Linked DNA regions of Neodiprion lecontei. The protein of the gene in region 1 interacts with the protein of each later gene in a biochemical or structural test. Links are inferred from orthologs where the notes say so. Each region holds a gene or a part of one and is shown on either strand. Other genes may lie near its edges. The genes, in order: ubiquitin carboxyl-terminal hydrolase 8 and signal transducing adapter molecule 1.

What was found.
Region 2: the proteins of ubiquitin carboxyl-terminal hydrolase 8 (region 1) and signal transducing adapter molecule 1 form a complex in vitro, tested with the Homo sapiens proteins (2 studies listed by BioGRID). The link is inferred for Neodiprion lecontei from reciprocal best matches to the Homo sapiens genes USP8 and STAM.

Annotation. Positions count from the first base shown.
Region 1 is NC_060265.1:31,615,348-31,620,268, reverse strand, and holds the start of ubiquitin carboxyl-terminal hydrolase 8, read left to right. Parts: upstream 1-1,634; 5' UTR 1,635-1,876; exon of another isoform or gene 1,877-2,227; intron 2,228-2,308; coding exon of another isoform or gene 2,309-2,323; coding exon 2,324-2,602; intron 2,603-2,795; coding exon 2,796-3,172; intron 3,173-4,614; coding exon 4,615-4,921. UniProt on the Homo sapiens protein: Hydrolase that can remove conjugated ubiquitin from proteins and therefore plays an important regulatory role at the level of protein turnover by preventing degradation. Converts both 'Lys-48' an 'Lys-63'-linked ubiquitin chains.
Region 2 is NC_060261.1:32,829,590-32,837,268, forward strand, and holds signal transducing adapter molecule 1, read left to right. Parts: upstream 1-1,781; 5' UTR 1,782-2,359; coding exon 2,360-2,399; intron 2,400-2,785; coding exon 2,786-2,946; intron 2,947-3,063; coding exon 3,064-3,309; intron 3,310-3,804; coding exon 3,805-3,877; intron 3,878-4,017; coding exon 4,018-4,227; intron 4,228-4,297; coding exon 4,298-4,417; intron 4,418-4,495; coding exon 4,496-4,684; intron 4,685-4,766; coding exon 4,767-4,996; intron 4,997-5,177; coding exon 5,178-5,398; intron 5,399-5,517; coding exon 5,518-5,626; 3' UTR 5,627-7,004; downstream 7,005-7,679. UniProt on the Homo sapiens protein: Involved in intracellular signal transduction mediated by cytokines and growth factors. Upon IL-2 and GM-CSL stimulation, it plays a role in signaling leading to DNA synthesis and MYC induction. May also play a role in T-cell development.

The DNA.
Region 1 (4,921 bases):
AGCATTCACGGTTTGATGGTTTTGCAGTCTCTGGTTTTATGGGTTATTGCAGCAGTGCTATCTTTACATTATATTGGTTATGCATTTATCTATGGTTTTACAATCTTCTATACTCCGGGCTATGTAGTAAAGCGTATGTTGCTTATAGTATAGCTCTCACCTCCGAATGCACAAATGGCATTGTTGAGTGCTATATAATAATTGAGTATAATTGTGTTAGTTAATTATAGTGTTAATATGATAGTGATATATAATAACGCATAATAGTATTATAGTTCTCTGTGGTACGAAGATCTCGTAACATGGTTTTTAAGCCTTGGCTAGTGAATTTCATAGTTATTTCCATCTAGGGATATTCCAAATAGTTAGACAGTTGTTTTAATTTCTTATGGTTACAAGATTCTCGTACTTCGAGTTTGGTTAGTTGATAAAAGTAACATGCAGTAATAATAGTCGATAAAACATACGGACGTTCCGGTCGGATGTTACACGTTCGTAGATTTACCATAGCAGCGCCATCTATTGATTACTTACTCAACCCAGTCGAAAGGTATCGACATCTGTTAGAATCATTCGGAGTTGACAGATAATTGTGACTGTCAAATAATAACAGACAAATAATTAGCAATATATTATAATTGCGACTATAATTTGAGATTTAAACTATCCTATCTCTCAAGTTGGATCGAACTGCACATGGTGTGCGTATTTTATTATAATCGGTTAAGTGGTTTAGGAGTCCATTGAGGACAAACATCGTGACACGAGATTTATATATATTAAGAAGATGATAATAATATGTGAAAAAAATATCCAAATTACACAGATGATATGAAGGAATTCGATAATATAAGACTATTAATAGTACGGTAAAAAATTGCCGTAAATCACAAATCGAAATAGAGACATGTGTTCTTATAAAGTGCGTGGAAAGAATAATATCGTCAGAAAAATATAACCTAAAGCTTACCAATATTGAAAAAATAAGGATATAAGTACTCACATGGATGTAAAAAAGCAGTCGAAACTCTACAAAAGCATCTGATGTTACGAAATATAACTTCAAACCCATAGTTACCGCATCAAATACATGTATAATATGAGGTGATATATACCAATTGGTTTATATGCCTCAGGAAGTAAAAATATGCATTCAGTCGCGTGTTTCCCGCCGTTTGCTGTCAAATTTGTCACACCAATAATTCTTGTTCGTTATGCCATATGCCATGGAATATGGCTTATGGATCTTTATGTAGATTGAAATCCATAATCCATAGGCAGAATGCATAAACCATACGGACTGGCCTTTTGCAATTGCGCATGTGCTACGGCTTCTGCATTCTGCCTATGGCCTCTGTAATTTTATGTGCTCCAGCCTTAATTCTGCCGCAAAGTGCTGCCGAACACGGTCTTTCATGATCGGATGCTACATGAAATGCTACGGATGTGTTGAGGTCCGTGAACAGAATGCTGCCTGGGTAGTTATGCAATAGTCCCCGGAGTTTGCCCAATCCAGGCGCACCTAACGTACGACCATCGTACGACAGCTCCTCATTCAACACTAAATTGCTTTGTATTCCATTCCTCATACTGGCAATCGTTGGTCATTTACAGGTGTTTGATAACACAATTGCAATGTTTGATAACTCGACCGCTTATTCAGGAAAATTGAAACAATTGTAGTTAGGCATAAAACCGATAGCATAATTGACCAATCAGAGCATTTTTGCTGCTGATGCATTAAGACCGTGATATAGTCAGATCCAGTTGAATACCTCCGTGTGCGCGGTACGCGTTTGAGGTGGAGTATATTTCAGTGCCTTCGATTACCTGCGTTGACTTTAATTATTTGTCACCTGTCAGTTGGGAGTTGCGGGTAACTGTATCTTTCTGTTTCCACTGTTAAAACACTAGTATGTTCAAATCAACGACGAAAGAGACGTGAAAGCAAATGTCACCGTTTCTATAACCACCAATGTTGTGTGACGTACATACCTTTCATGAGGCATACTACGTATTTGTAATGATCGGATCTGTAGAATCCTCGAAATACAGTCAACTAATAGAAGCTTGGCTTTATCCCAAACTCACAGATACCGATTTTTTAGTTCGTATTATATAAAAAAAAAGTTATTAAAACATGTTGAACCGTGTTCAATGTGTACCAATTTTCATGAAACTTCACGATGTCGGTGCAACTTTCAATTGATCATTGGAATAACTAGTTGTACGAACCTCAATTTCCAAATCGTCTGTTTCAAACGTTGGTTAAGCAGAAGACCCGACTGACTTTTTAATTTAAAAACAGAATCCTACAGTGACAATGCCAAGTACTGTACCCACTTGTCCGCTTCATTGTGCCACATGTTTCGAAGATTTAACGAGCCAAGCAGAAGTTAAATTCGAAAAAAAAAATCCTAAGATGGTATGCAAATCTTTGGGAAAATTACTGGATGAAGGAAAGAAACACAGATTGACTGGAGATGATGAAATGGCTTATATAGTTTATATGCGATGGATTCACTGCATTCGCTGGCTCCAAAAAACGCCTGATTTTACAGAAAACAAAGATTTTCTCAAGCCTTATGTTTCGGGGTCTAAGGTAATCCTGGGCAAAAGTTATAGATTTTGGTAGATGGCAGAAAATGTTAGGTTGACCTATTTCCAACATTTTTTTTTAATAGTACATTATCCAGCCCTCATACCTTTTAGGAAAAATTGCTTGACTTTTGAGCAGTATTGATTTTTCGAAAATCATTACTTAAATTAGGCAGCTAAGTGTGTGTGATTTACAGGTAAAGGAGATACTAAGTCTTTTGGAGGAAATTGCTGACAGATTGAAAAACAGGTATAAGGTGAAACGATTGGAAGAGAATACTAAACAGATACTGAATACTGTTGAAAAGGTGATAATTGAAAGCGATCACATGAACGATGATGATTTGTTAAATGAAGTTGGGGATATCGAGCTGAATTTACCCGACACACCGACGGATGACCCAGATACCAAACTGACTGAAACGTCGATAACATGCATGGAGATGTTTCAAGAAATGCAAAAACTGGTTGATCGAATAATAATAATTGATATTAGACCGCGAGGAGATTTTCAAAATTCACATATCAGAAGCGATCAATGCATAAACATTCCAACTGACCTAATAAAGACTGGGTAAACACACAGTTTTCATTGGCTTTAAATGAGATACTCTTCCAGGGTGTATACGCACTGGAGAAATGCCAGAAATTTTTCTTACTGGGGAAAAACTGAAATTTTCTGGTACTCTGTGATAGTAAGATAAATTTTGCACAATTAGTGCACAATTCATGTTTTGTTTAGAAAAATTTTTTCCCATTATGCCTGGTTGACATAGTGTAATAATATCGTTTGTCTAATGGTATAAAGACATATGCACCAAAGATGCGAATTTCTCGGAAGAAAAAATCTGTTAAAAAATTAGACGTAAAAATTACAGAGGTTAATGGCCCTCTGTTTGGTGGATATGCCCTTTTGCACCAAAAAATATTTTTATTTATCACACTTATAAATGATATCAGGTTGCATCCGCCATTTTTGTGTTTTTTTCGCGACCAATGCAAAACCCTTCAAAATATGAAGATTTCTCAATTTTGAAAAAAAATTTACAATTGCGTCTTTTGTCAAAAAATATGGTTGGACGTAAGGGTATAAGATCGTATTCGCCAACTTATTTTAAAGCTTTGAAAACCTTTCGAATGTAAAGATTTATTGATTTCGGAAAGGATAAAAATTTTTTTTTCACAAATAATTATATCGGACATAACAGTACAAGGGCGTATTCGCCAATTTATTTTTTCTTGCAAACGCTTTAAAAATCTTTGAAAAGTAAAGATTCATTTATTTTGGGAAGAATGTTTAAAATTTTTATTTTCTCAAAAAATAACATCATACGCAACGGTATAAGGTTGTATGTGGGAAAATGCGACCTTACACCATTAGAGAACATGATTATTTTTCATAAACTTTGTGATTAAAGGGCATACCGACCGTACGTACGACGCTCTACATTAACTACATTTTTGAATTTCAATGTTTTCGAATGTATGCTCATATTTTTCGCTTAAATACGATCGAGGAAAAAAAATATGCCTTTTTATCTTTACATGTGGTAAAAGCTCGTATAATGACACATACATCCTTATACCATTAGACATACGATGAACCTGATGTGAAAATAAAGGTTCTAAAATATTTTACACATTTAAATTATCAATGTACCCTGAAATTCTTAACATGGTGATGAAAAGCTCCCGCACGCATTCCTGTGATCTCAAATTTTATTGATAGAATTTCGTATTTTGCAAGCTATAAATAACATTCATGAAAATTAAAGCGCGATGTTATAAAAGTATATAAAAGGCTTGTAATTTCCTCGATATGCAGAGTAATATCAATAATCTATGTCTAGGCACTTGGGAGAAACATATTTTTCACTGGGAAATTCTAGAAAAACCCGGTATTTTTTTTTTTTTTTATTCCCAAATACACCCAGTCTTCATACTGATTCTTGAATTGTTATTTATTAAACGAATGAAACATGTCGCTGGTTATTTCTAGTATTTCTAATATTTCAGAATACTAGCTACCGATCTTTTTAAACGATTGAACGGGGATGAGAGAACATGTCGAGTTATTCGGCACAGAGCTCGGGAATACTGCGATCTGATAGTATTGTTAGATTGGCAGTCCACTAAAGCCTCGTTACAATCAACCAATCAATTGAACGTGCTGAGGAATATACTGCTTGATTGGGATCCAGGTGTAGCTTATAAGAGGATAGTTGTGCTGCACGGAGGATACAAAGAATGGTTAACTTGTTTCCCTACATTTACAACAAATCCTGGTGTAATGCCCCCTGATATTGAAGATGACAGCATGGCA
Region 2 (7,679 bases), on another chromosome or scaffold:
TTTTGTCTGTTTCAGCTAATCAAACTTTTTGTCTGTTTCAGCTAATCAAACCTTTTATCTGTTTCAGTTAATCAAACTTTTTTTCATTTTCAGTTAATGAAACCTTTTGTCTGTTTCAGCTAATCAAACCTTTTGTCTGTTTCAGCTAATCAAACTTTTTGTCTGTTTCAGCTAATCGAACCCTCCGTCTATTTCAGCTAATCAAACCTTTTATCTGTTTCAGCCAAGCAAACTCTCCCTCTATTTCAGTTAATAAAATTTTTTGTCGTTTTGAGCTAATCAAACGTTTTGTCTGTTTCAGCTAACTAAACTTTTTTCACTTTCAACTAATCAAACCTTTTATCTATTTCAGCTAATCAAACTTTTTGTCTGTTTCAGTTAAGCAAACCTTTTGTTTGTTTCAGCTAATTAAATTTTTTGTCTATTTCAGCTAATCAAACTTTTTGACTGTTTCAGCTAACCAAATCTTCTGTCTGTTTCAACTAATTATTTTGTTTTTTTTTCGTTAATTATATTTTTTACTTATATAAGCTAAGTATATTTTTGTTTGTATCGACATATGTCACTCATTATGTTTTCGTCTGTTTCAGGTAACTGAGTTATTTTGACTATACCGAAAAATTAACGTTTAATTTTTTAGGCTTAGGTCTGGTTTAGGGTCAGTCATCTTTTTTTCACCGATACATAGATTTAGCGATGTAGTTCAGACTCATCACGATCACAAAATGTGGTAAAATTTATTCAGCTGTAGAATTTTATTAACGGTTTTACAGTCTTTTATTGTGATCGTTTTAGTGTCAGTCTTACAGCGATTCGTGTTTTCGATATTGGTTTAGTTGTCGATTGTTTTGCGTATCCACCATGTTCTCCATTTTAGGGATTATCTCATACCTCATAACAAAAAAAAAAAACCCGTGCGCGAACTTCCAAAGTCAATCGCCGTTCGTCTATAAGATAAAAACAATCACCGTTCATCCATAATCAAAACAACCATTTTTCATCTATAATTAAAACAGTCATCTTTCATCAATAATAAATAGTCACCGGGTGATATGAACTGAAAAATTTCAAACAAACTGCAAATATACGCGAGTACAAATTGATTGGAAAAAACAATTTATCATAATTAATATCTGAAAGAAAAGATTTTTCGAAGAACGTAAGATCGATCTTGCAAGTATTCTCCGTGGAGTAGGCCTACTGGGGAAACCACGTAAAAAAAAACGCGCCCGGTGCTCTACCGCTTGTGGTGGTGTGGAAACGAGCATAAGTGTACTTATTTTCACTGGTCAAATACTCATTGTAGTTTTTCAAATAACAATTTTCTTCTTGCGTAAATTTAACTCATTGTCAATAAAAACTAATGTCAGTTAAATTATTTTCATATGTCCGCTTCATCTTGTATCGGAATAAAGATATGAGCGTTGACTGAAGATACATATTACTATCTTCAGTTAACGGTACGAGCTAAGTATTAAACATATGAACAGAAATTACATAAGGTACATATAGGAACAACTATATATCTCCATCCTTTGATTAACTTCTTCGACTATGTCTCCCATCCTTTGCATCGAGAAAAAGTTTCCAACTCTGTCAACAGTAAACCAGGTGCATGTTTATTGTGCATCTATTTAGATAACATTATTTTTGTCGATGCGATGGAGTTAGATTGATATTGCTGAATTTGGACCATATGAATTTGCATAGTTGAAAACTATGCGGCGTCCATACGGGGTTATTTGAAAATTTTAGTGTTCCCGTTCGTCATTCCGTAGGCGTAATAATACTCCACTCTGCATTATCTGGGTACACGCGGTGAGCGACGGTAACATCAGTTCGTGTCCCCTCTACTTATCGACCATTTGCCGGATTGGGTTGCGCGTGTAGAGGATGACGCAGAGGGCGCTGCTTGACGATGAATTTATGTCGGCCATTTTAAATTACGAAAAGCCCCATAAAGCTAGCAGTCTTTATGAATCTTCAGTCCATGCTTCAGTCAACGCGACCAAAATACCATATATGGAAAAAACCCGACAGGTAGTACTTTGCAGTATTTTGCAATTGGTACATTCGCTGGCTCCCTCTGCCTAAGGACTTACAATGTAAGTGACTTGGTCGATAATCGTTCGACCATGACTCGCAGCACGAGCGTCGACCCGATTCGATAATAAAATGGCAGCGCAGTGCTCGAGATTAGGATGTTATTAGTCACCCAACTGTATTTATGATTAAATATCAGCTGGATGCGTAGTAAAACGTAAACGGGAAACTCGTGATACTGAACGGTACGATTCCGCAGTTGCGTGAAGTCTACGTGATAATCAACTTAATACACAATTAAACCAACTACGTAACAATGGGACTTTTCTCAAATTCACCGTTTGACGCTGACGTTGGTAAGAGTTCATCTACCCCTCCCAAACTTAATTTAACTTTCTGTCGACGTTAATTATGTATATTGTATTTAGAAGCACTACTTTTCTTTGCAAGATATTCATCGCGATTCGTTTCTATCACAACGCTATTATTGCGTATGAACATTGAACGCCTAAATAAGTGCATCTGATTTCTCCCCCCTTTGTATTCAATCAGTTGTTAGTCAATCGAGTTGGTTGATCAACTGTCTTCTTTGACATGTGGAATCTCGATGAAAATTTGGCATTGTGTAGACTCTAATAGCATCCCCAATCACTCATGTGTTCCATAGCCAGCTATAAATATCGGATGAATCTGTGAATTGCAATAGTTAATCTGTATTTGTTAATATCATGTTGCATTCCAGAAAAGGCAACCAATGAAAAAAATACGTCTGAAGAATGGGGTTTGATAATGGATATATGCGACAAAGTAGGCAACTCCAGCCAGAATGCCAAAGATTGTCTTCGCTCCATTGTCAGGAGGCTAAATGCTCAGGATCCACACATTGTTATGCAAGCTGTGACAGTTAGTATTAGCTCTCGCTAAATAATTACCAAAGAACAATATATATTTCAAATAATTCAGAGAATACAAATACGCCTTTCATCATTTCAAATTTCTGAACTTTCTTATAAAATGTAGCTATTGGATGCTTGTGCGAGCAATTGTGGGAAGACATTTCACTTGGAAGTAGCATCCAGAGATTTTGAAGGCGAATTGAGAAGGTTGATAGCACGTTGTCAACCAAAAGTAGCCGAAAAGCTAAAATCGCTATTGAAGAAATGGGCTGAAGGAGATTTTAAGACGGATCCACAACTTAATTTGATTCCTAGTTTATACAACAAATTAAAGAGTGAAGGTTTGGATTTCTCATCTGTCCCAGAAATGGTAAGACTCATTATAGCTTAAGATCACATTTGCTTACTTGACTTCAGAGACTTGGTTACGAAGTGGTGTGATGCATACTACAATGTACATTGATAATTAATGACAAAAGCAGTATTGAGAAAAGGATTTATCTTTGTGGATTTACGTGTGTACTAAGAGTTCAATTTCATTAGATAACATATCTGTATCACGAATGAAGCATATTTATATGTTTGCAATTGATTTGAATTCTGAACTAATGAATCAGCTTTGTTCGTTTTCAATTTCCACACAATACAAATGTTGTATGTAAATAATCAAGATGCATTGAAATACAAGTATACACACATATGTAAGTTAACAGTAAACGCTGCGTATTTACAACTGATAACATATACATACATTGAAATTGACTAAGCTATTCAAACCTATTTAGTGTCAGTAATACGGAACCATCAAAACTGGCAGATCATGTTTTTGCAATAATAACATTCATTTGTAATTAAAATTTTTTAGCCTAAACACACAGCTATCAGTAGGGATCCAAATGTTGTAACCAATTCTCAGGAAGAAGAAGACATAGCGAAAGGTAAGTAATAGTTGTAATGGTCTTACAATTAGCAAGACAGTTGTATATCACTGATTTTCTAATTTATTATTACTTTTCTGAAATGAAAATCAGTCGTAACTCTTATTACGTGTTTTTTTGTTTTCATTTTTTCCTACCAGCAATAGAACTTTCGTTAAAAGAGAACAAGCAACATCATCATTCTACTATCTCGCATAGTTCACCATCGACAAAGAAGTCTAGCAGTTTATATCCTAGCGTCAGTACAGCGTTGAGTTCAGCTAGTAGTACAGATGGAAGAAAAGTTCGAGCTCTATACGATTTTGAGGCAGCTGAAGATAACGAGCTGACATTTTTAGCTGGGGAAATAAGTAGGTATCATTAAGCTTGATTCATATTACAATGAAAGTTCGTTTTCAATTTTTATTCTGACTCTTACAGTTCACATTCTCGATGATACCGATCCGAATTGGTGGAAAGGAACAAATCACAGAGGAGAAGGCTTGTTTCCATCTAATTTTGTCACTGCGGATTTATCCGTGGAGCCCGAACAATTTACAAGTAAGAAACACCCAGAATCAAGATCACAGAAACACCACTGTTGATTGGCTGTGAATACTTTCAACTTTATCTTTACAGAACTGGAACACGGCAATAAAAAGTCCGTGCAATTTGCGGAAGAAGTTGAAGTGAAGACGGTCAAACATGAGCCAGAGATAATCGAGGTTGAAATTGATGAACCTAAAATGGACCGACTTCTCCACCTGCTACATGAGGCCGACCCTGAATGCGATTCGACTGACACGCAGGAAATGTTAGATTTGGAAGGTACAGAAGTTGTCTACAATATTTTTCACTTCATTTTAACATGATTAATTTTTCGAACATCGGATGTTTTGCATTTTTTCAGAACAAGTTACAGCTATGGGACCGCTTATAGATGCGGCTCTGGAGAAGGTCGATAGGCGACACGCCCAACTAACGCAATTAAGCTCGGACCTGGTGGATGCTCTTAATTTGTATCATACGCTAATGAGGGAACCACCACCTCCGACCCCGACGAATTACACATTACCAAAAATGCCTCCAACCCACGTCAACACTTACCAATTTCCAAACCAAGGACCACCTCCACCTCTCGTTAGTATCTCATCTTCGCTCGCAGTTTTCTCTTTCAATAATTAACTGCTATGAGGACATACCGAGGCGGTTGAAACGCCCTATTGTCAAATGAAAACCAGTGAATGCAAAAAGGAGCTGCATACCAGTGCAATTGCTAATATGCATCCACCACTTGATTTGACTGACTTCCATTTTATAGATGTATAATGGTATGCCTCAGCAGCCTTCATTCAACACAGGGGGTATGCCTCCAGGAGCATATCCACCTGGTATACCTGGGAGCGAATACATGGCTCCCGGAAACATGGGAAACGTGAATTTACCGCGTTTTCACATGCAGCCTGGCCCGCCACCTTCTGGTCATCCTCAGGGCCTACCACCGCCACCTGACCGAACAAATCTACCTTATCCTCAACAAGGGTAATATATTGCTCTCTTTTTTTCCTCAATGTGAATTGTGCAAAATCTAATTTTTCATATAATTTCATGGTAATGTAATGTTACCTTCGGTTTATACTTGATAAAATTTTCCCAAAAAGGTTTCCATCACAAGGTGCTCCTGCAGGAGGATCTTACGCTGGGCCACCAGGGCCTTCAGTAAATCAACAGCCTCAATATGCTCCTCCAAATGGACAGCATATGATGTAAGCAAAGATATAATACGACGTTCCAAAAAAAATTCCCTTGTATTCTACTCAAGTTGTATAATATTATTATCATGAAGATTATTATTATCATTATTACTATTATTTAAATAAGTACGCCCAATGTAGTCAAAAAGCCTGGGTTTCGATATTCAAATCAGAGACTTATGTGTTAATTTTGTTTTCGTATTTCGTTGCCTCGAGATTTTAGTTCAGGTTCCGTTTTAAAATGTCTGACTTGGTGTTTTTTTTAATAAATGCATATTGCATTAATTGTGTATCTGCCTATCACTGTACATTAGATGTTTTCCGTAATCTTACAATTATTCTTATTTCCAACATGAAATTCACAACACTACGTATATGGTGGTCAGAACTGTAAAGAATAATATTTTTTAACATTTTGAATACGAAGTGAACCGTTTCGGAAGACAATGTCGGTAATATATCTAATTAATTTCGATCGCGAATTAATAGACCTTGAAGGTCATGCTGATACCTAATTTATCATATGGTCCTATGTGAAATGAAAATTAACATAGGCAGGAAACTGAAGTAAACGACAGAAGTAGAATACGCTGAACGTAAGAAAAATTATTATTTAACTTCGTATGTAGCTATAATTTACTAATACTATTATCCCAATTATGTTCTATATTAAAACATAAGAGATAAAAGTTGGTAAAGCTTCTATAGTTTGCTTAAGTTAGTTTGAAAGTGTATACAAACCACAAGAGGCTTGGTCGCCTAATGCTGTATAAAAAAAAATTATGTAATAATCAATATATTTAAATGGATCGATGGCAGTTTTGTGGAAATGTATGCTGGTTGCGTCTAGTCTAAAATTTGCCCGATGCTTAATCTTTTTTTTTTCTTTGTGATAATGTACAATCGACGCGTTAAACGCTTGGCTGGGATTATTTACGTTCTGTCTGAGAGGGACTAATACAGTGATGACAGTAAAATCGATTAATTAAAACTGCAAACTAAGACAAAGACTGAACTGTCTTTTATTGAGAGTTTCCTTGCCAATATCAAAGCCAGTCAGCCAGTCAAGTGATTGCAATTTCAGCTAATAGATAATATATGCATTTCCTATTGCACGAGAAGAGCCGGTTGCGATAAAATGAAGCTAGTTCAAGTACAGAAATCTCACTTTAAAGTAACAATCACACATATATACATATATACATATATATATATATTTTGAGAAAATTACGACTGGCGTAAGTTTCGTGTTTTTGTAAGTACTTGGTATAATATGTAAATTATAAATAAAAAACAGTGAATACAAGTCCTTATAAGTTACAAGTTAATGTAAACGATACTGTGAAATGTATACCTATGTTACGTTGCCATTGAATTACAATTATTTACGTAAATCACAGCCTATCCATTTATACTTTCCACATCTATTTCCTTGGAACAGATTCCCACTGTGTTAGTTATTATCTGAACTTTTCAAAGGCCTAATCTCCCCTATCTCCCATGCGGTTATGAATAATGATTAGACAATACTATTGTTGTTCACAGAATAATAACAAACACTTTATCTCGACAATGACATTTATTTGATTCATCCTATTATTTGTCCTTGGCATTTACTGTAAAGACGTCAGAAAGGATCCGTTGCTAAAGCAATACGGATTTTGATGATAAAATCAACATATTTTCGGATCATCAAAACTCGTTGCAAATTATCCACACGTAGGAAAAAATATTCCAATCACCACACAAAACCATGATGCGTGGTTTTGCTGAAACACAATATGTAAGTAATACCGCGAGTAATTGAAATGCTTGATATATTACATACAGCTGAAATCTCGATTATCTTGTTAATTGGGAAATTCGCGGCGATTTTATGAGGTGTTTTAAATGCACCTGACCTTCACGAGTATCATTTACATATTTATATACATCATGCAGCAGAAATTGATGCAACCACGTAATATCGTCCAACGCGTGGAAAGTAGGAGGTCGATCGAACAGAAATAAGACTCTTCAAAATTAGTTAGCCAAACATTTTAACAGGAGTGTAATGCGAATAAAAGTTG